Ovis aries: one gene and its partners. The protein of the gene in region 3 interacts with the protein of the main gene of each other region in a pairwise test. Links are inferred from orthologs where the notes say so. Each region holds a gene or a part of one and is shown on either strand. Other genes may lie near its edges.

Region 1 (4,192 bases), on a different chromosome or scaffold from region 3:
GTAGACCTTTGAATACAGGCAAATATTCCTAAATCTAAGATGTGGATTTAAAGGAAGAGGTCTAAAGTAATTCTTAAGAGATTTGATACCCAAGGTAAAGCCACCACTAAAGGTTCTTGGTTGACAGTTGAAAGCGACATCAGAGGAAGATGTTTTTGGCGTCTGATTTATCTTACACTGAACAGGGGCCCGAGGAAGGGAGCCCGGATTGTGGCGGCCTTGGAATCTGAAGATGGAGGTGTATAACATGCTGAACAATGAAGGCTGGGAAAATTAATTATGGTCATCTCTATTTTGAAATATCATGCAGTCAAGTACAATCGTTTTGGGAGACAATATTAAGTGGCACGGGAAAACGGGGTAAAATTTAAGCACACTACAAAACAAAATGAAGCCGTTTTTATCAAACGCTGTATATTCAGGTAGGAAAGAGACAAAATACCTCTGGGGTGGAGTTTCTGTTTTTTTCAATTTTAATACAAAGAGCTTGTGTTGCTTTTATGACCAGAAAAAAAGTTTTCTTCCCGAAAGAACCTCACTTAATGGTTTCGGCCCTGGCCAGCAGATTCCTAGGACCCACTTCCCGGCACTACCCCAGCCCCTTGGGGTGTGTGACTGTTGAGACCTAGGAAAAGGCAGGCAGTGGTGAACCGCTCCTGCCTCCGGGCAAGCGCAGCCTCTGGACCGGAGGACTTGCTTGGGGGTCCAGCGGCAGAGGTGGCCACACGCCGGGAAGCGCTCAGAGCCAGAACCCTCCCCGCTTATTACGCGCCGGTGTGGGGACACCAAGGGGCAGGACGTCAGCCTCAGGAGCCGCGGAGAGCTGGAAGGGCGGGAGGCAATGGGGCCCCTCCAAACGTCTTCCTAAACTCCAGCCCCAAAGTAGCCGGCGGGGAACCGCGCCAGCCCGCGCGCCAGCCGAGACTTGGGTGACTGACAGGAGGTGGGAATGTGGGCGGAGCCTCTAGCGCGAGCTGTGATTGGAAAAACCCACACCTCCGGGGAGAGAGGGCGGGCAAGTTTGCGAGGGATGCGCAGAGGAGGGTGCTCAGAGCCTTCTACGTGATTGGCTAGCAGCGGAGTGAACCGGGAGCTGTTCCGATGATTGGCAGAGGGTAGACAACCCTCCGAAACTGCTTTGGCTTCGCCTATTGGCATCCTGCGAGAGTAGGCGGGATTGGTTCATCGAGGGGTGCCGTTGATTAGCTGGCGGCTGAGAGTTAGGGTGTTGGAGAGAGCTGGGGGAGGAGGGGCGGTGGGGGCAGCGACTTCTTCCTTGTTATTGGGTGGTGAAATGAGTGAGGGGTGGCACCATGGGCCAGCGGCTGGCTAGGATTGGCGAGTGCTGGGGTGAGTGACAGGCAGGGTGGCGAGCTGCGCGACCAGCGGTTTGTTTTTCGGAGCGTTCCTGAGGTGGAGAACGGCGGCCGGACGGAACGACTTCGGGACTGAGGGACTGGCGGTCGGGCGGGCCGAGCGGCGCCGCCGAGGCCGGGCTGGGCCGAGCCGAGGAGCGCCGGGGATGTAGCGGGCCACCCTGCCCATGCCACAGCGCCCGGCCGCGGGCGGAGCCGGAGCCGGAGCCTGGGGAGGCGGCGGGGGCCCCGAGCGCAGCCCGCGCCCCCCGCGCGGAGCCAGGCCCGCTGCCGTCCCCGCCGCCCGGGCCCCCGGCATGCAGCTCCGGCTGCGGAGGTGACACTCGGGCCCGAGCCGCCGCCGCCGCCATCGCCACCATGGGTGAGTGTCGCCACCGCCCCGGCCTGTGCCCGCGCTGCTTCGCGTCGCCCCGCCCCGGGCTGAGGGGAGGAGGACCCTGGGCCGCCGCCTGACAGGCATGGACAGCCCGCCCGGCCGGGGCTGCGGACCGCCGGCGCCCGCCCGCCCCGCTCGGGCTTAGCGGCTTCGCGGCCCGGGTGGGGGTTCTGGCTCCCCCGGCCTTCAAGGGCGGCCCCGGTCCGCAGAGCCCACTTGGCCGCCTCTTTCCTGGCCGCGCGGCCAGCACATCCCGAGGAAGCGGCAGCGGGTCGAGGGCCCGTGCTCGGCGGAGCAACGCGCTCCGGGCCGAGCGAGCGGGACCCCGAGCCCGAGGGCGGGGGAGCGCGAGCGCAGTGTGGGGCCCGGGCTGGAGGCTGGTGCAGGCCTAGCTGCTGTTGTGTCTTTTCCTTGATTTGCTTTTTTTTCCTGCCTGTGTCATTTCCTTCCCTTTGCTCACACAGGCCGGCCTGTGAGAGTTCCCGGGGCTTGCTCTCTAGCCCTGTGCGCGCCCCAGCGCAGGGGGGAGGGCGTGCGGGGAGACAGGCTGCGAGGTGATTAAAATGGCAATCACTGTTATCAACCGCGCGGTTGAGAAATGCGAGCTGCACGCAGACTGCTGGAGTTTGGGAATCGGCTGCCAGTGATAATACACATCCTACTCTTTGAAAAATCTCGTTGCAGTGTTTTACATCCATTAGTTTAATCTAGCGGTGTCCCTGAAATTATGTAACTTTTGAAAGAGAGAAACATTCACTACACAAAAAAATCTCTGAAATCATTTCCTTTTTAATCGATGGTTGCAATTTCTGTTGTGAAGATGTAGTCTAAGGAACGTTTTAATGTCTTCCACACGCAGCATTTGAACTGAATTATATTTCATGTCCTTTGTGGTAATTTAGCAGACGACTATTGGAGTTCATTAAGTAGCAGTAACATGTTCGATGTACTTTGCTTCTCTTGTTGGATCAGTTATTTTGATACAGTTGTCTGCAGTGGCAAGTTTTGCAAAGTATTTGTTATTGTCCTAATTAATCAAGGGGTAAACTTCAGTTAAGGGGTCATTTGCACAGCCACTGATTCCATCTGTGAAGAGGGAACATTAATGTTTGCTTTGCCCTATGGCAAGGTCAAGTCGTTTTTGTAGGAGGCTGAGTGTTTGCTGTGTCACATTGGGCAGATAATCTTTTGTGGCCCATCTTTACACTCTGGCTTTGAATGAATTGCCTTGTTCTGTTCCATGCTGCCCCTCTACAGTAAGGAATGGGTTCCTTCATTTATTGGGCTGTTTCCTTCCCATGCTTTATTTCAGAAGTGCTTGCTTTTCTGGGCAAAGTCTGTGACAGCAAGCAGAAAACGAACTCAGTGAGGCCTGGTATTTATTGAATAAATACGTAATTCAACAAATACTCGTTGAGCATTTACTGTAAATGGGGTACATAATTCTTCTTGTCCTCCCCAGGTTTCGCACATTTATCTTGTGCTCTGGAATTTGATGATCACACTAAATCTTTGAATTGATTTGTGAACCTACATTTGTGATAATCTTTCTAATCAGTCTTTCCTTTTTATCCTGCGGGGACAGGCTTAAATCCCAAAGGGGAGTGTGAATACTTAAGGGTGTGCAGACCTCCTATTTTCCACTTTCTCGAGTGCTGAATCAGTGTCCAGATATGTTGACTACATTTCGTGCCTAATAATAAAATAGAGGTCAGCCTGTTTTCACATTTCAAAATCATTTCAAAAAACGTAAATGTGTGAGCATATGGAGAGACAGTGATGGGGACGAAAGGAACTATGTAGATAGGGTCCAGAGCCCCAAAGGAAAAAGGACCAAAAACTCAATATCTTCTCATTTGGTCCCATGTCAGTTTTTACGTGAAGAAAGTGAGACAGTGAGGGGGAAATTAACTTGCCTGGTGACTGCAGTATATTAATCGGCAGACAAGCTGATTTAAGAACCCCTGCCTGGCTTTCTTCACCACTCTTCCCTCATACCATTCTCACTTTCTTTTAAGCAGATGACCTTGGCATGCACCTAGAACTAGTACTGAATTCTTTTAGAACCTGACCTTCAGTTTGCTTTGTATAGGGCTCAGCAAGGGTGTATGTACAAACACGCACGGAGTCTCTCTCTTAAGTACTGGTTTCCATTTTGGTGATATAAATGATGAAAAGTCAGATTCCCAGGTTAGCATGCGTTAGTTGCTGTATGTAGTCCTAAATAAGTTCAAGGGGTAATAAGGGAGAAACATAGACTTATTAGTATTTTATTATACTTGTTAAACTCCAGCCCAGCGAGGAAAGGGGTAAAACTAATTTGAGTTCCTGCCCTTCAGGTTCCTTGGTTAACAGTCATATTTTCCTGAGCTGTTCTAAGCCCCAGACTCAAGCTTGTTTGACAGCTTGGGTTGGTAATGAAAACAGGTCAGATTTTATA
Region 2 (4,300 bases), on a different chromosome or scaffold from region 3:
TCTTTAGATAAGAGGTCATGAGGCTAGGAGGGTCCCCAGAGGGGAGTGGGGTAGCAGGAGCACCCTGGAGTTAGGGGCTAGTTACAAACCAGATTGTAAATGTTCAACGTATTTAATTAGCCTACACAACCGTAATGGTGTACATACCTACTGAATATGAGCCCCAGGGAAGAATCTCCTGAGATGGCCTTACTGTCTTCTGGTTTGTCGAAGCCACTGGGGCCTTCCTAGAATGTGAGCTACCGAACAGCAGAGGCTGTTCTCCAGGTGAGCGCTGCGTCCCTACAGCCTAGAACCATGCCTGGAGGACTGGAGGGGGCTCACCAAATGTTAAGTGAATAGGCAGACTGGGAACCCCCAGCCCATTCTTGGGGTCCTCTCACTCTTCACCTCTTTGCACCCACTTTCCCCCTCCAATCCGTGCTCCACACCACCCCTCAACATAACCTAGTGTGAGATACAAATTCTGTCCCTCTCCTGCTCAAAGTATTTGATATCTCTCTTTTGCCCAGGATCCCATTTCCCCCACTTCTTTTTTTTAACCAATTGAACTGCTACTTCTTTAAACCCTGACCAGATTTTGCCAACTTCTGTGTTACTTTCTGAGAATTCATCTCTCTCCTCCAAATATTATGATAGTTTTGCCCTCACTCACCAGACAGTGAGCTCCTCAGGACAGGGACTGTGTCTTGTTTCCATACCTCTAGCCTGACATATGGTAGATGCTGAATAAACAGAAGAGTGAAAGAAAGAAATAGATGAACAAAGGTTTGGATAAAAACGAATAGTTTAATTTTGCTAGAATATGAGGGAGAGTAGTAGGAGATAAGATGGAAAAGTCTCTTGGGTAAGATTTTGAAGGGACTTGAAGTCATCTGGAGGGAGAAGATAGGCAGATGGAAGATACTTTGCAGAGTGTGGGAAGCCAGTGTAGGTTTTTGAGCAGAGGTGTAATATGATGAATATTACATTCAGTTTTAACCCATCAGAGACTCATGAATATATGCAGCTGTCCATTCATATTCAAATTCACATCCCACCTATTCATCCATCCACTCTCCCACCCCCAGACTCCCCCAGGAGCCTTCCCTACCCCTTTACCTGCTCCCTGGCCCAGCCAGGAATGTATATATGGGCAGCTTTCCTCTCAGCCAGAGGATGTGGGGGCCCCAGCTGCCTGGGGCTGGGAAGCAGGCCAGGGTTAGCTGGAGCTGGCTGACTAGCAGTCGGGCAGTGCCAGGGAGAACCTGTATAGTGCCAGGTGGTGCCTTGGGTTCCAGGCTGAGCCCATGACCCTGATAACCTTCTGGCTAGGCACATACCTGCCCCTCACTCCACCCCATTCCCACCTTGCTATCGGAGAGGGGGCACAGGGCCAGTAGACCCACAGGACTTTGGCTCCATCTCCAAAAGGGCCTTCTGTGAGTCAGCCTGCTCCCCTCCAGGCTTGCTCCTCCCCCACCCACCTCCTGTTTCCGATGCACGTACAGCCCGTGCACTACAGCCCCAGCCCGTACACACCGTGTCCCAGGACACCCCAGTCAGCCGCATGGCTCCCCTGAGCCCCAGCCCCCGGCTCCCTCTGTGGATTCCGGCCCCTGCCCCAGGCCCAGCTGTGCAATTGCTGCTGTTACTGCTCCTTCTGGTGCCTGCCCATCCCCAGAGCCTGCTCTGGATGCAGGGTGCTCCCGCCACGGGAGGAGATTCATCTGGGGAAGATGATCCACTTGGTGAGGAGGACCTGCCCAGTGAAGAGGATATACCTGAAGAGGAGGACTCACCTGGAGAAGAGGACCTACCTGGATTGAAGATGGACCCAGGAGAAGAGAATTCTCTGAAGTTAGAGGATCTACCAACTATTGAGGCACCCAGGGACACTGAAGACCTCCAGAATAACGCCCACAGAGACGAAAAAGGTAAGTGGTCATCAGCTCTGCAAACCTAGGCTCCAGGAGGTTGGTGCTTCCGCCACATTAAACCCCAGCCCAGGGAGGGATTATTCAGGGAAGAAGAGGAGCCTGTGCTCTGACAGTGATTTTTCCCAACCCCAGGAGCTCCCTTGCCACTAGCCCCTTACCCTCTTTCAGAGCTAGACGAAGAGACAATAAAAAGGGACACGGAGAGAGGTAAGCAGGAAGAGACAGAAAAGAAAGGGGGAGGTTGGAGAGGAGAAGAGATCGGAATGTGGAGAGCAAAGTACGAAGAGACAGGAGAGGAAGGAAGGGGGCTGGTACCAGAGGAAGAGCAGGAAGGGTTTGTAGAAATCACCGCATCTTCAGTCTACAGATGAGGAAAGTGAGACCTAGGAAGAGGGAAACAGCAGGTAGAGGAACCTGGTATCTTGACCCTCAAGCCAGGAACTTTGGAAAAGGAGATGGAGATCAGAAAGGAATCAGGGAGAGTGGGGAGGAGGGATTTCTAAAGGAGAAAGATGGTCTACTAACCTGGGCCTGGGAACTGAGGTCTCCACCCATTTTACAGACCCTAAGACAGTGGTTGCAAGCAGGGCTAGTAGAATCTTTGTGTGGCCCATCAAGCTGTGGCGTTTTATTTGGCTGCAACCTATTGTGCCTGTTTGTGGTGTTTCTGTTACCTGCTATGCTTTTGTAAGAATCTGAGTTTGTGAACGCTGCTAGTGAGGATGACCCACCTCTTTTTGGCCGCCGGGGAGTAACTGGGCTCAAAGATCAGCCTCTTCATTCTTCTCATTTATGCAGGGGATGGCCACAGTCATTGGCGTTATGGAGGTGAGACACCCACCCCCTACAGAGACCCAATCTGGGCACCCGGCTCTGCTGATGCCCGTACACGCATCCCTCACCCCGCATCCACGTCTGCCAGTCCCCCGCCAACCCCGACCCCCGCATCCTTTACCTCTGTTTCCCTCCCGGATCCCTCCTGACTCGACCGCATCACTTTTTCTACTCCACTTCCCTAAAAGTTCCTGATCTTGTCTTCAAACTTCCTGTACACACTTGCCCCCTCCAGGCGCTCCGCCATGGCCCCAGGTGTCCCCAGCCTGCGCTGGCCGCTTTCAATCCCCGGTAGACATCCGCCCGGAGCTCACTGCGTTTTGTCCAGCCCTGCAACCCCTGGAACTCCTTGGCTTTGAGCTCCCGCCACAACCAAAACTGCGCCTGTGCAACAATGGCCACACCGGTGAGGCGGTCTCGGGGCGGAGCCTCAGGGAAGGGGCGGAGTCTACCTGGAGATGAGGGGACGGTCATTGGAAGTTAGGCTGAGGGTGGGGCGGGCCCCGGCTCACCTGCCTCTCACCACACAGTGCAGCTGAGTCTGCCTTCTGGGCTGAAGATGGCGTTGGGTCCCGGACAGGAGTACCGGGCCCTGCAGTTACATTTGCACTGGGGGGCCGCGGGTCGCCCGGGCTCGGAACACACGGTTGATGGTCACCGTTTTCCTGCCGAGGTGAGCGCGCAGCTGTCCGCGAAGTGTCAAAGCGGAGTGCCGGGTAAGGGACCTCGCCCACTCCTACCGTGTCTTCTCCAGATTCACGTGGTTCACCTCAGCACTGCATTTGAGGAATTTGACGAGGCCTTGGGGCGCCCAGGGGGCTTGGCCGTCTTGGCAGCCTTTCTGCAGGTACCAGCCCTGGACACCCCCCACCTCTGCTTTCTTACGCCCTCGGGCTCAGAGTATCTTGCCCCAGAAACTCCCATCCCCGCACCTGACTGTCATCTTCATTCAGTTCTTTCGTTAACGCCCACTGTGAGCCAGGCTCTGGGCCACAGAAAAAAGATCCCGAAACAGTTGATCCTGTCTCCCCACAGCCAGTGAGGGAGGCTGACAGGGTAGACATATACACAGGACACATAGTCAAAGAGGTAGTCAAGGAAGGCCTCACAGAGGAAGTAAAACTTGAAGCCTTTGCTAGTGGGAAAGAAAAAGAGATATTCCATGCAGAGCGAACAGTACACGCAAAGACTCAGAATATGGCCCATTTGGGGAATGGCAGGTGTGGGGAATGGTCAAAAGGAAGAGTCATTTCTCTAATACCTTTATAACCCATAATTTCCCCTTTGCAAAATGCACTGAGTCTAGAGAAGCATTTGACTTCTTTGGACAAACACAATGATTAGAAGAGGCTAATAGGAAGGAAGGGTGGTGAGACACCTGTGGATGGTGAAACACCTGTTAGACTCACTGCCTCCCTGACTCATTAACACCAGCCTCACAGCACTGCAGAGAAGTACCTTGGAAATAGCATGTCCTGGATCCAGAAGTCAAACTCATGAATTATTAAGGTGAATGCAGAGGTACCATGGATACAAAGGTTATTGGG
Region 3 (3,500 bases):
TATTTCTGGATGAAAAAACCTAAGATTCACAGACAAGAGGAGCCTGAAGGATACAGAAAGCATATTTAAATACGGACTGTGCAAGGAAATTCAAAGTAGAGACAGGGTGGAAAGAAGCTAAAACATGGAAGAACTTAGTGCCGTGTGAGTGAAGCAGGGGTGGAGCCTGGCCACGCCCAGAGCTGCTCTGAGTGCTGAGTCTCTCTGGGGACCCTGGCTGGCAGCTCCTCAGAACCAGAGCAAAGGACCTAGTGGGCAGGAGAGGCCATACAGAGGGGCTGATTCTGACTGGCTCCGGTGAGAGATAAGAGACAAGATATTCTTGTTGGAGAGATGGTAGCTCTGGGCTGGAGCGATCAGACACGAGGCCAGAAAAGGACACCAAGGACAAGTCCAGTGAAACAATAGTTTTCATCCACGCTCAGGCTTTCATTCCTCCAGGCTCCCAGTGATTCCTGACCTCACCTTAACGATGTCCAGTCCTCCGACAAGCTCCCCCTTCACATACAGCTGAGGGTACGTCGGCCAATTGGAGTAAGCTTTTAATCCTTGCCGAACCTACGGAAACAACAGGAACCCTGAAATCATCCTATCAGATTAGAATAAATGACAATCCTAATGGTTAAAACTAAGACAAAAGACAAAACCTAAAACACAGAACTTACTTCTTCATCCTCCAATATATCAAATGTCTCATATTCAATCCTACAAAAAAGAGAAAACATTTTGACAAGAAATACAGTTTTAGACAAAAATTATAAACTCTATTTGGTGTTTCAGAAACAGTCAAGAAAAGTAAAACTATTTCGATGCTAACAAAATTTGGGGAAAAACAAATTATTTTACTTCTTTATCTGTCTTGTACTTGACAGAATAAGTCATCCCAAAATAGAAATTTTTCTGGATTTTCTGCTTCGGGAGCAAGAGGGGGCAGCCTTGCGGCACCCAGGGATGGAGGCTGCGAGCTCACCAGCGGGGGGCACGCCCTCAGGCAGCTCCCCCGCTGGGAATGAGCCTCCCACAGAGCACGCAGAGCACGTGTGCTTTCCCCACGACGCCTGCAGCCAGCGCGAGGGCTGTGGCTGCATGCCGTGTCATGAGGCTGCTAGTATAAATGAGTGAAAATTCAACCACATCTACGCAGGAGGATTTTATTACAAGGTGGTCAAGGAACGAGTAAGCATGTGTGACTGGATCCCTGCAGGAAGACTGTGAGCGCATGTGCAATTTCAAACCCTGGCCAAAGAAAATGCCACGTATGAAAAAACGAATTTCGTTTTCCATAAAACCAAAGCCATTTTCATAGGGAAATCCTGTTTACTTAATACACAAGCTAAGGTAAGTCACTTCAGTCGTGTCCGAATCTGTGCGACCCCATAGATGGCAGCCCACCAGGGTCCCCCATCCCTGGGATTGTCCAGGAAAGAATACTGGACTGGGTTGCCATTTCCTTCTCCAGTGCATGAAAGTGAAAAGTGAAAGTGAAGTCGCTCAGTCGTGCCCGACTCTTAGCGACCCCATGGACTGCAGCCTACCAGGCTCCTCCATCCATGGGATTTTCCAGGCAAGAGTGCTGGAGTGGGGTGCCACTGCCTTCTCCAACTTAATACACAAGTTCCAAAGAAAACAGTCCATGATGCAAGAAAGAGTCAAAAAAAAGAACTTGACAGGATAAATCAGCAACAAGTATCAAGAATGTAACGTCTGAAAGAAGAGCAAAAAAGATTAAAAAAAGAAAAACAGAACCACACAGTATAAGTCTCCCTTCAAGTTGAACTAAAGAGGCAGATCTCCTAATTGACACAATATGAAAAAAAACACTGAGTTCTGGAACTGCCCCTGATACAAGGGATCCAAGAAGTGCTGGGCCTACATGTTCACAGGTGTGGCGAGTCACAGCTGCCAGAACACCTCCTGAAGTTCCCTGAAAGGGCGCCTCCCACGCCCCAAGGCACATGGGGGTGCTCAGCCCCTCGGGGCAGATGTCTTTCCTCAGAAGGGACAGACAAGAGCAAGGATGGAGGAAAGGAACAGAGCGCTAGAAGCGCCCCCCACATTCCAACAGCTCCAGCAGGACCACAGTCCTCCACGTCAACAGACCCTGGAAGGGTTCAGCCAGCCTGGAGTCGGGAAGGTACTCCGTCCCAAAGAAGCTCCCTGCTCTGGGGGAACTGGTGCTTCCAATCCAATCCAGCTTAGACAGACATGGGACAGAAAGTAAGTGATGGAGACTTTCCACCAAATACTTAGGCTGTAATGGGCCCAGAACTGTCCCATCCTGGTCTCAGAACCCCAGGGGACTAGCTGGCACTAAGGACAGGTGGCCTGAGGGTGACTCACAGGAGATGTGGCAAAGGGAAGAAAGTGACCAGAGCCGCGCCAGCCTCGACTGCAGCCCAAGGCAGCGTGAGGATGGGGCAGCTGGAGGCCGGAGCACAACAGCGACCAGTCTCTCCTCTGTGAAGCATCACAGTCACTTGAACAGAATGGCTGTTCTTCTTTTGTCCCGAAAGCTGCATTTGGGGCTGTGTTACTCCGCCCAGCCCAAGAATGCCCACACACTTCAAAGGTGACTTTTCCTGTCACGTCATAGGAGTCTATCTAAAGCTACAGTTAGAATCCTTACAATACGGAAAAGAGGCAGGTGAGAATAAGGAAGAAAAATAAGCAAAAACATTGGGCAACACAGAACATGTGCTAAGTATCTCTAAATAGGCGGTTTGACCACAATTCCAGTCTTCTTACCTGGCAGCTTCGTCACTGAGATCAAAAGCATGAGCCCCACAATCTGATTTACCCACCTCTCAGACTCAGATAACGGATCTTCCTGTGCTTCCTGTTTCACAAACTATTTGGAAGCTAGAATATTTTTTTAAGAAAATTAAAAATCTATAATACACTTTCCCTAAAATATCTTTATGCATGCTAAGAACTCAGTTATTAGTTTTCCTCTGGGAAAGTAGACAAATAGTTATCTCAATGTCTGCCAAAATACCTCCTTTATGTTACCAATAGGTTGACATTGGTCAAAAAAATTCTACTGTGGTCTACGTTAAAGCATTCATAAAATGCTACAGCAAAAATAAATAGATAAAAATACATGAACAGATATAACAACTGAGAAGAATCAATGTCAGAACAGAAAAGTTAGAATTTCTTAAATACATTCTCTGAAAACAAGATTTACTTACCCAGTACTATTTAGTATTTCCAAAATCTGTCTGCTGAAGCCACACTTAGCTTCCTAATTTAGGGAAAAAACACAAACTTCAGAATGCACTGCATACCGACACAGCCCTGGGCGCGGCCCTGCCTGAGGCTCTGCCGGGGGATGGCACTGCAGAAGAGGGCCGGCCCCCAGGGCCTCCTCGTCGCCCCTTCAAGAAGGACCCATCCAGACGTCCCCCCAGGCGCGCGGCCCCCAGCCTGACTTGGGCTTGTCACCCCCGGAGAGGACTGTGTTCCGACACTGTCACCTCGTGATCAAAAACCTCCCGAGT
Region 4 (4,128 bases), on a different chromosome or scaffold from region 3:
TACTGGAGTGGGGTGCCATTGCCTTCTCCATGAATGCTACAGATCTTACTTGAATTCTGTACCTAGCTTTTCTTATGGAAGCAAAGGACATACCAAGGTTCTATAGAACCTGAGAAGGACAAGAAGCTTATCTGCAAGACATATACTTGTTTCTCAGTTTCTACTGAGCCCTCACTGTGAACCCCCAGCATATTAACTTTTGCTGCTCACTGTAAGAGGGGATCAGCAGCAACTCAGAGAGGACAGTAACACCACCAACAAAAAGGCAGAGAGGGAAGTAACTCACTGAAGAAGGAGCAACGTTCTGGTGGAAGAAAGGGGCAACGTTGTTAGAGCTTTATGGAGAAGTATGTATGGAAAAGAGAAATCATTATATACTTTTGGATTTCTGGGCCAGAGAAGAAAGGGGTTTTCTTTTTTTTTTTTTAAAGAGAAAAGTTCATGCCCTTATCACTTTTCTCCTTTTCAAGAAAGATAAAGAGACTGCATAGAGTGCAGGAAGAGAGTAGGCCTGACTTTGTTCCGCCGAGTTTTCTTCTCAAGAGAAGCAAAGATTGTCAGGTTTGAGTGAAGCAGAGAGAAGCCTAAGAGGCCGGTTTCAGCTGCAGCCTGCTAGGGGAGCTGCTATTTTAAGAGAGAAGTATAAAACGTGAGAAGCACAGCACTTAATGTTTAACTCCATGAAATGAAAATAATTGGCAAGTGCGTTAGTAGTAGCTACAGGGTGAGAATGTTTATCCAGGAAGCGCACCTTGATGGCCAGAATCGTCTCTTTTTTTTTTTTTTTAATTAAAGGAAAGTTGAGTATCAAGAGGATATAGAGATATAATCGACCTTCACACACTTTGAGTGTTTAAAACACAACCCCTGGTGTGTGTTCTCATCTCAGGAGCGCTGGCTTGGTCTTTGTCACCTATCGGATTTCAGGAAGGCTGACTTGAGACGCGGCGTTGCCATTTCCTGGGCCCTCACTTAGTCTTTTTCTCCCGGCGCTGTCAGCCAGATCCTTTGTTGTGCCTGCTCTGCGTTCATTCTCTCTGCCCTCACACCTCCAGACAGTGGGATGGGGATTTTTCCCGGGCCTTGCAGGAAGAGCTCCGGACGGCCACCGTCTCAGGCATCAGATAGAGGACAGCTTTAACCAGCCAGTGGGTGTCGGGGCTGGGTCGGCGCCGCGCCGGGAGCAGACACGCTTTTGTGTCGGTGTTTGTCTCCGCGGCCGGCTGACCCCCTGGCGGGAGGCGCGGGCGCGACCCCCGAGGAGGCGGGGCCTCCGAGCCGGGCTCCGCCTGGTGTGGATTTCACGGTCGCCGCCGCCGCCCTCGTTTGTTCCCGTTACATCGCCCCGTCCTGAGCAAACAGTCGTGGCTGCCCAGGAGCCCTCCATGGCCTTCCTCCCACCCAACTCCGCGTTTTGCTTTTCCCCCTCGCTTTCTCATTTTTCCTCGTTAACAGCATCCTGGCGGGGCGCTTGGCAAAACTCAGGCTAAAAACAGAGAAAAGAGAGAAAAAGGACACATTCGATGCGCCTGCCTCCTTCCTCCAGAGTTTGCGAAGGATCTTAACCATGTCTGAGTCGGGGGAGATTAGTGAATTTGGCTACATCATGGAATTATTAGCCAGAGGCAAGGTAAGTGCCGGGGGCGCGGAGCTGCGGCCTGGGTTCCGCCCCCGACCTCACCCCCGCCCCCGACTCCGGGCGCTACTTGGCCTGTGGCTGCAGGTGTCCTGGGCCTGGCAGCCCCCGCGGAGGGCGGGACTGGAGTCCCAGGTCCGTGTTCTCAGCCGCTGCTGAAAGCAAAGCAGACATCTGGCCTCCCACCCTCTCCACCCCCATTAATAGCGCGGCATCTCTGAAATGAGCCGAAAAGGAATTGGCCAGCTGGGTGACGGCGGGGCTCTGGGGACCGAGAGGGGCAAGGGCTCAGCCTGCGAAGATGGGGAGGAGGGCCGGGCGTTGGCCAGGGGGCGCTCCTCGACGCGCCCAGGGCTCCTAAGCGTGGTTGACATCGTGTGGTTGACCTGGTCTGTCCAGGCGCAGAGCGCGGAGGGAAGGCTGGACCAGACGGTGGATAGGCTATGAGGGTGGGATCGGGTTCACGCAGTCCGACCTTACGGCGGATAAGTAGGGGCAGAACCCCGGTTCGCCCAGCCCTGGTGTTTTCAGGTCCTCGGCCGTTGTCCCAGGCCCGGAACATTTCAGGCACCCTTCCTTTGGAGGGGAGAGGGAGATGCGAAGGCGCCGGGTTTCAGCCAGGCACCTGTTCCTTTCGGAGTCCTTTGGAAACCCAGGCTGGCGCTGTCGGTGGCGCCTGGTGACCCCGCCCTCAGCCGGGCGGAGTGGCGCCTCGCTGAAGCAGAAAGCCTTGCCGGAGTCTGCCTTCCGAGCTACATCTGAGAAAGCGCCTGTAGAGGCTCCTATGTGGTTCACAGGCGGGAAGAACTGGGAAATGTGAAAGTCCCGGGATTCGTCTGTGCCTAGAAAGCGAGACACGGTCTTCTGCAGCTGGAGTTTCGAGAAAAGGTTATGGCACAGATGAGAAAAGGATGCCCTGCGCAAGGTCATCTTGAAAATGAAGGATGATCTGCAGCTGTGCTGTGAGCCCCTGGAGCATGAGTCTCATATCTCACCAACCCCAGCAACGCGGATGCTTCAGGCCAGACAGTCCCACGGCTGGGGAGCAGGTTAACGTCCCCCACCCCACCTCCCGCGACCGAAGGGTCCTGGGCTAACTGTGGGCCTCCTGAATTCCCTCTCTTGTTGTGCAAACAGGGAATACACTCACCCAAAACAGAATGCTTATTCACTTTTCTTTAGTAGAGTCAGTGTTTCAGGCCACCCCTGCCATTTACACCTCGGACCAGAAGCAGGAACGGAGGACACCGGTTCGACTTTCTTTCGTGTCCCGAGGCTCCATCCTACACTTCGAGGAGCCTCCAGCACACGCATAGGGACATTCTGGCCAGCATCTCCAAGCTCTTTATCGCCCCAAACAGCTTCCCCTTGGCCACGAGCACCTCCCTTCCCCAACCCCGGTCTGGAGTGCCTACCACAACCTTCTCCACCCTCTGGAGGATTGACCCTGGGGAGAGAAGTTCCGAAGGAAGTGCTGAGCGAGGAGGCTGGCTTCCAGGGGGCGAGCCTGGCCTGTCTAAAGAACACAGCAGGACCCTGGTTGCCCAGGAACCAACCAAAAGGGGCAGGAGGATGCCTTCAGTTGGTTACAAAATCAATGGCCCACCCTAGGTGGGATCAGGAGCAGAATGACTGAGGAGTCAGTTCAGGCCCCTGGTGCTCAGGTATTCTTCAGAGTTAGCTGGAATTGTATTCCTTGGCTAATACTGTCCTTCAGTAAGCGGGCAACACTTGATATTAGGAGAGAATAGTTTTGAGGTAGGATCCAGGGATCTGCAAGTTGACATCCCAGGTGATTATGAAGCAGGCAGGTGAACTTCTCATGAACACTAAATGGGCAAGGAGGGTGGAATCATTAATGAACCTGTAAAACGTCTTATAATAAAGTCAGGTGAAGAAAACTAACCTCTTGCAATTAGCATTGTGTGTCAGAGTACGCTCACTGTAGTGAAAAAACACAACTCAGAACCTTCTGGCTTCATCCACTGAATTTCTCTGCCTCACTCTCCACTAGGTGGACACTCTTCAGTAATGGGCCTGCAGCTGCAGTGGAGACGTGAGCTCAGCTGACTTTGAGAGTCAGAGGGGCAAGTGTGCCTGTGAAATCTCTGGAGTGGGAGAGTGGGCTCTCACAGTAGGGTCTCTACCTTTTATCTGGTGGAGTGAGGGGTCAGGAGTAGCCTCTTAACCATTACAACTCAAGCTTCTTCTTTGCCCTCTTTCCTTATAACTCTGCTCCTCCCAGTTACCCTCCTCATATATGTGATTATACAGACTTTGAACACTGAATACCTTACTGAGCATTAGCCATGGACTAACAGACCTTTGAGGTTTGACTTGCTTTCTTTTCCTCTGAGAAGTTAGGTTCCACCTTGTAGCTCAAGTTGGTAATGTAAAGAATAATATGAAATGGATCTAATTACACCAGGTTTGTGAAGTTTAAAACGAGAGTTGAGGCTCCTGTCTTCCTGCCCCCTCCCCTTTCCTCCCCT
Region 5 (4,095 bases), on a different chromosome or scaffold from region 3:
TTTTTTTTGTCACTTGTGCTTTTTGGTATCATGTCTAAGAAGGCTTTGCCTCATCTGAGATCACAAATATTTTCTCCTAAGTTTCCTTTTAAAAGTTTTATAATCTTAACTCTTAAACTTGGGTCTATGATTGATTTCAAGTTAATTTTTTAACATGATGTGTGGTCCAACTTATGTTAGTTTTATATATCCATTTTAGGGGCCTGGGACTATGTTATGAAAGGAAGTTCTTTCAGTTCATAGTCCCCAGCAATGCATACCTGGGGTCCTTACCTCTGTACTCCTCCAGACCCAGCAGAAGCCACCTGGGCCTTAGATACCTTTGACCAAGGATCAAACCCAGGCCCCCTGCAGTGGAAGCGCAGAGACTTAACCACTGGACCACCAGGGAAAGTCCAATAATCTGATATTTATAAAGCACTTTACAAAAAGGAAGTATGATGTAGAAGCCAAGTTTTGACTTCATGGTTAGATGACTATCGCACAAGGAAATTACTTCAATTAATTCTGTGCTGTGCTGTGCTTAGTCACTCAGTCGTGTCCAACTCTTTGTGACCCCATGGACAGTGGCCCACTAGGTTCCTCTGTCCATGGGGATTCTCCAGAAAGAACAGTGGAGTGGTTTTCCATGACCACCTCCAGGGGATCTTCCCAACCTAGAAATCAAACCCAGGTCTCCTGCACTGCAGGTGGATTCTTTACCATCTGAGCCACCAAGGAAGTCCTCAATTAATTCTACAAGACATAAATAAAAAGTAATAATCTTTGAAGTGAAGTGTGGTTATGAGTTTAGCAAGCATTTCCAGCCACAAAGCTGACTGCTGCTAGAAGGACCTTTTACGAGACTGAGATAAAATGGCTCCTCTGCCTCTCGAGAGTATAGTCCAAATTTTTCACATATCACACACTACAAATGCAGAATATTACCACATGATTTATTTCCTTTATCACGATATACTAAGCAATATATCACTTGAATCATTTCTTTCAGTTTTGATTTAGCATTAAATTTGAAGTAGGAGTACATTGCTACCTGTAGAGCTGAGGAGCCTGATAGGCTACAGTCCATGGGGTCACAAAGAGTCTGACACAACTGAGCAACTTCACTTTCACTTCACTTGCAACCTGTAGAGGGCAGTCAGAACATACCGAGACTCTCATCCTGGAATAGAGCCCACGGACTGTGGATAAACTGCTGACCCACAACACAGATAATCCTCTTGCTTCGAGGGATGCGACTTTACAGGGAGGCCCCCAGCAGACGAAGCGATGGCCCAGCACCAGCCAAAGGAAGAGAAATAGAGTGGACCCTGGGCTGGTACCGTTAAAATCAAGCTACAGGATTCGATTGAGGCTTTATTGTAAAAACATGCCCAGGCTTTCCCAAGACAACCAACAGGGCCACCAGAAACATTTCTCCAGACCATCGAGGAGGATACGATTTCTGCCTCTGCCGTGGGCTGAGCCATATAATGTGAATGTTCACCAAACCGTGGAAAATGAAGGATGTGCCACAGCCACGCACAATGTCAAGGTAAGACCATCTCCCCAGTCCGTGACCGTTCTTGGCAAGGAAAGGGTTTATCCAGAAAGAATACAAAACCATAGGAAAGCTTTAGTGTCAGCGCTCACTTTACCTTATTGAAGATGTATCAAAAAGGCTTCCAAACTAAACCCAAGAGAAAAACTAGGACTTTGATAATAACCTGATTCTTCCAGTTTTCTCCAACATAAACAGCTTCCCTTTACAACAGCAAATGACTACATTTTGTTTGTTTCAGGAAGTAATGTCTTAAAAAGCAGAAAACCTAGCCATAGATTTCTATGGCTACTATCAATGCTTAGATATTCTGACATAAAAGTTATATCCCATATAGTAATGAAAAAAAATGGGCTTCCCTTGTGGCTCAGTCAGTAAAGGATCCACCTGCAATGCAGGAGATATAAGATATCCGGGTTCAGTCCCTGGGTTGGGGAGATCCCCTGGAGAAAGAACCCGCAACCCACTCCAGTATTCTTGCCTGGAAAATCCCATCGACAGAGGAGCCTGGCAGGCTATAGTCCGTGGGGTTGCAAGAGTTGAACACAACTGAGTGACTAAAACACCACCAATGAAAAAGTATAGATTGCTTTCCACCAAAATTGCTTGAGGGAAAAAAAAATTGGTAAAACTAATACAGGCATGAAAGACCATTTAGGAACTAAGGGTGTTTTTCCTAAAGTCATAGTTGCCTAGATGAATTTCTTAAGCATGAATTTCTATCAGTAGACAATGTGATTTCCCCGAAGAGTAACCATTTTCCTATTCAGCGTTGTGTGTATCTTTGCAGAAAGTACAGTTTAAGTCTGTCGATCCTCTTAACTATTAATAGAAACACCTCTTAAAAGGCTATTTAGTATGGAGGGGGATGGACATGTGTTAATGCCTGTGACCAATGATCAGAGCTCAGAAGTAAATGCTGATAAATTCTACAACCGCAGACCTGTCCAGATTCTGCAGCACTAGAAACTGTGCCTGTGCCTTCGCTCATATCCTCATAATAATCACGTATTTGCAGATTCTAATTATCTAGATCTGTCCTTTCCCCATAGTTTTTTTGTTTTATCTTTTGACTGCACCATGCAGCATATGGGGTCTAAGTTCCCAGACCAGGAATGGAACCTTGGTAGCATGGAGTTTTAACCATTGGACAACCAAGGAAGTTCCTCCCCAATCTTATTTTAACCAACTGGCACAAGGAGAAGTTGTTTGTTTGTTTGTTAAGTCATTGGGAAGCTTTTTCAATAGGAAGGTACTTGATTTCAGTGGTTCAATAGGAAGCTACACTTGATTTCAGTGGTTACACAAACCTTCTCATGTGTTAAAATTGCATAGAACTATACTCACCTGTCGGGCTTCCCAGGTGACTTAGTGGTAAAGAATTCACCTGCCAGCGCAGAAGATGTGGGTTCCATTCCTGGGTCAGGAAGATCCCCTGGAGAAGAAAATGGCAACCCCTCCACCACACACACACATACACACACGGGTGCATACAAACTTATGAAATCTGAATGAGCTCTTAGAATTATACCAGTGTGTCTCCTGGCTTTGATGTTGTACAATTTATGCAGTTTCCATTGGGTGGAACTGTGTGAAGAGTGTGTGGGACCACTGTGTGTACATTCTTTTGTGAAACTTCCAGTGAATCTATAATAATTTCAGAATTAAATGTGTAAAAAAAATCCTTCCAAAAGCAGGTTAGACTGAAAATAACAATTCATTTGTGTTGCATAAATGCGTTGTCTATTGTGGTTCTTCTTGCTATTCTTTTTTATTTGGATTCTTAACCAATTTCGTTAGGTCAGAAGTGCTGAGGTGGTCAAACCTTTTTTAGAGATGAGAAAGCATGTTTGTAAAAAACACTGTTACATGTGTGCAGTCAGCTCAGTGGTGATTCAAACCCATGTTTTTTCTGACACTGACTTCGTTACTAAGTCAATAGATTCTGGCTGTGCTTTAGAAGCAGGCTATAATTTCCCAGGCTGGAATCCAGCCTCCTCAGTAGTGATTTATCTGTGCATTCTGCCCAAAGAACCCAACAAAACTGCTAATTTACTACAAAATAAATTAACATCTCTCCACCTACACAGGCACACAGACAGACACACACTTATGAACTTGACTTCATTGGGATTATTTTTTCTCCACCAGGATTTCTGCTTCCTTCCATTCAGAGCACAGAGACCGAGTGGGAGAGGGGGTGCTCCCTGGACCAGGTGCTCTTTTTAGTGATAAAAGTGAGAGAGAGGAAACTTTACAGCCACCCTGGTGAGCAGTTATCTACCCATCCATCTGTCAGTACAGATAGATGCATACACATGTATGCATTCTTTCCCAGTAATAAAAGTGATCAGAGCTTAGACCAGAAAATTTTCCACATAAAATTATTTTTCACGTCCTTTTAATTGCTGTCCCTCTGAGAGTGCAGACTTTTAGGTGCTCTCCTGGTCCAGGTGTATGACCCCTTGAGAAGCCCATCAAAGCCCTTGCTGTGAGACATTACACACTGAAAGGAGAGAGAGAAACTCCAAGGCCCCCAAAGGTACCTACCAAGA

The links. The genes of interacting proteins can lie anywhere in the genome.
Region 1: the proteins of GLRX3 (region 3) and MAP3K3 interact in a two-hybrid assay, tested with the Homo sapiens proteins (2 studies listed by BioGRID and IntAct). The link is inferred for Ovis aries from reciprocal best matches to the Homo sapiens genes GLRX3 and MAP3K3.
Region 2: the proteins of GLRX3 (region 3) and CA9 interact in binary tests that used the Homo sapiens proteins (3 or more experiments, as listed by UniProt). The two-hybrid records come from large-scale screens. The link is inferred for Ovis aries from reciprocal best matches to the Homo sapiens genes GLRX3 and CA9.
Region 4: the proteins of GLRX3 (region 3) and TRIM36 interact in binary tests that used the Homo sapiens proteins (3 or more experiments, as listed by UniProt). The two-hybrid records come from large-scale screens. The link is inferred for Ovis aries from reciprocal best matches to the Homo sapiens genes GLRX3 and TRIM36.
Region 5: the proteins of GLRX3 (region 3) and RGS20 interact in binary tests that used the Homo sapiens proteins (3 or more experiments, as listed by UniProt). The link is inferred for Ovis aries from reciprocal best matches to the Homo sapiens genes GLRX3 and RGS20.

What each region holds. Positions count from the first base shown.
Region 1 is NC_056064.1:47,641,422-47,645,613, forward strand, and holds the start of MAP3K3 (mitogen-activated protein kinase kinase kinase 3), read left to right. Parts: upstream 1-1,392; 5' UTR 1,393-1,733; coding exon 1,734-1,737; intron 1,738-4,192. UniProt on the Homo sapiens protein: Component of a protein kinase signal transduction cascade. Mediates activation of the NF-kappa-B, AP1 and DDIT3 transcriptional regulators.
Region 2 is NC_056055.1:52,860,614-52,864,913, reverse strand, and holds the start of CA9 (carbonic anhydrase 9), read left to right. Parts: upstream 1-1,500; 5' UTR 1,501-1,549; coding exon 1,550-1,916; exon of another isoform or gene 1,917-2,717; coding exon 2,718-2,747; exon of another isoform or gene 2,748-2,988; coding exon 2,989-3,159; intron 3,160-3,283; coding exon 3,284-3,426; intron 3,427-3,507; coding exon 3,508-3,600; intron 3,601-4,300. UniProt on the Homo sapiens protein: Catalyzes the interconversion between carbon dioxide and water and the dissociated ions of carbonic acid (i.e. bicarbonate and hydrogen ions).
Region 3 is NC_056075.1:48,924,400-48,927,899, reverse strand, and holds part of GLRX3 (glutaredoxin-3), read right to left. Parts: intron 3,245-3,500; coding exon 3,192-3,244; intron 706-3,191; coding exon 666-705; intron 559-665; coding exon 466-558; intron 1-465. UniProt on the Homo sapiens protein: Together with BOLA2, acts as a cytosolic iron-sulfur (Fe-S) cluster assembly factor that facilitates [2Fe-2S] cluster insertion into a subset of cytosolic proteins.
Region 4 is NC_056060.1:4,005,803-4,009,930, reverse strand, and holds the start of TRIM36 (E3 ubiquitin-protein ligase TRIM36), read left to right. Parts: upstream 1-1,328; 5' UTR 1,329-1,567; coding exon 1,568-1,630; intron 1,631-4,128. UniProt on the Homo sapiens protein: E3 ubiquitin-protein ligase which mediates ubiquitination and subsequent proteasomal degradation of target proteins. Involved in chromosome segregation and cell cycle regulation. May play a role in the acrosome reaction and fertilization.
Region 5 is NC_056062.1:34,891,057-34,895,151, forward strand, and holds the start of RGS20 (regulator of G-protein signaling 20), read left to right. Parts: upstream 1-1,295; 5' UTR 1,296-1,369; coding exon 1,370-1,542; intron 1,543-4,095. UniProt on the Homo sapiens protein: Inhibits signal transduction by increasing the GTPase activity of G protein alpha subunits thereby driving them into their inactive GDP-bound form.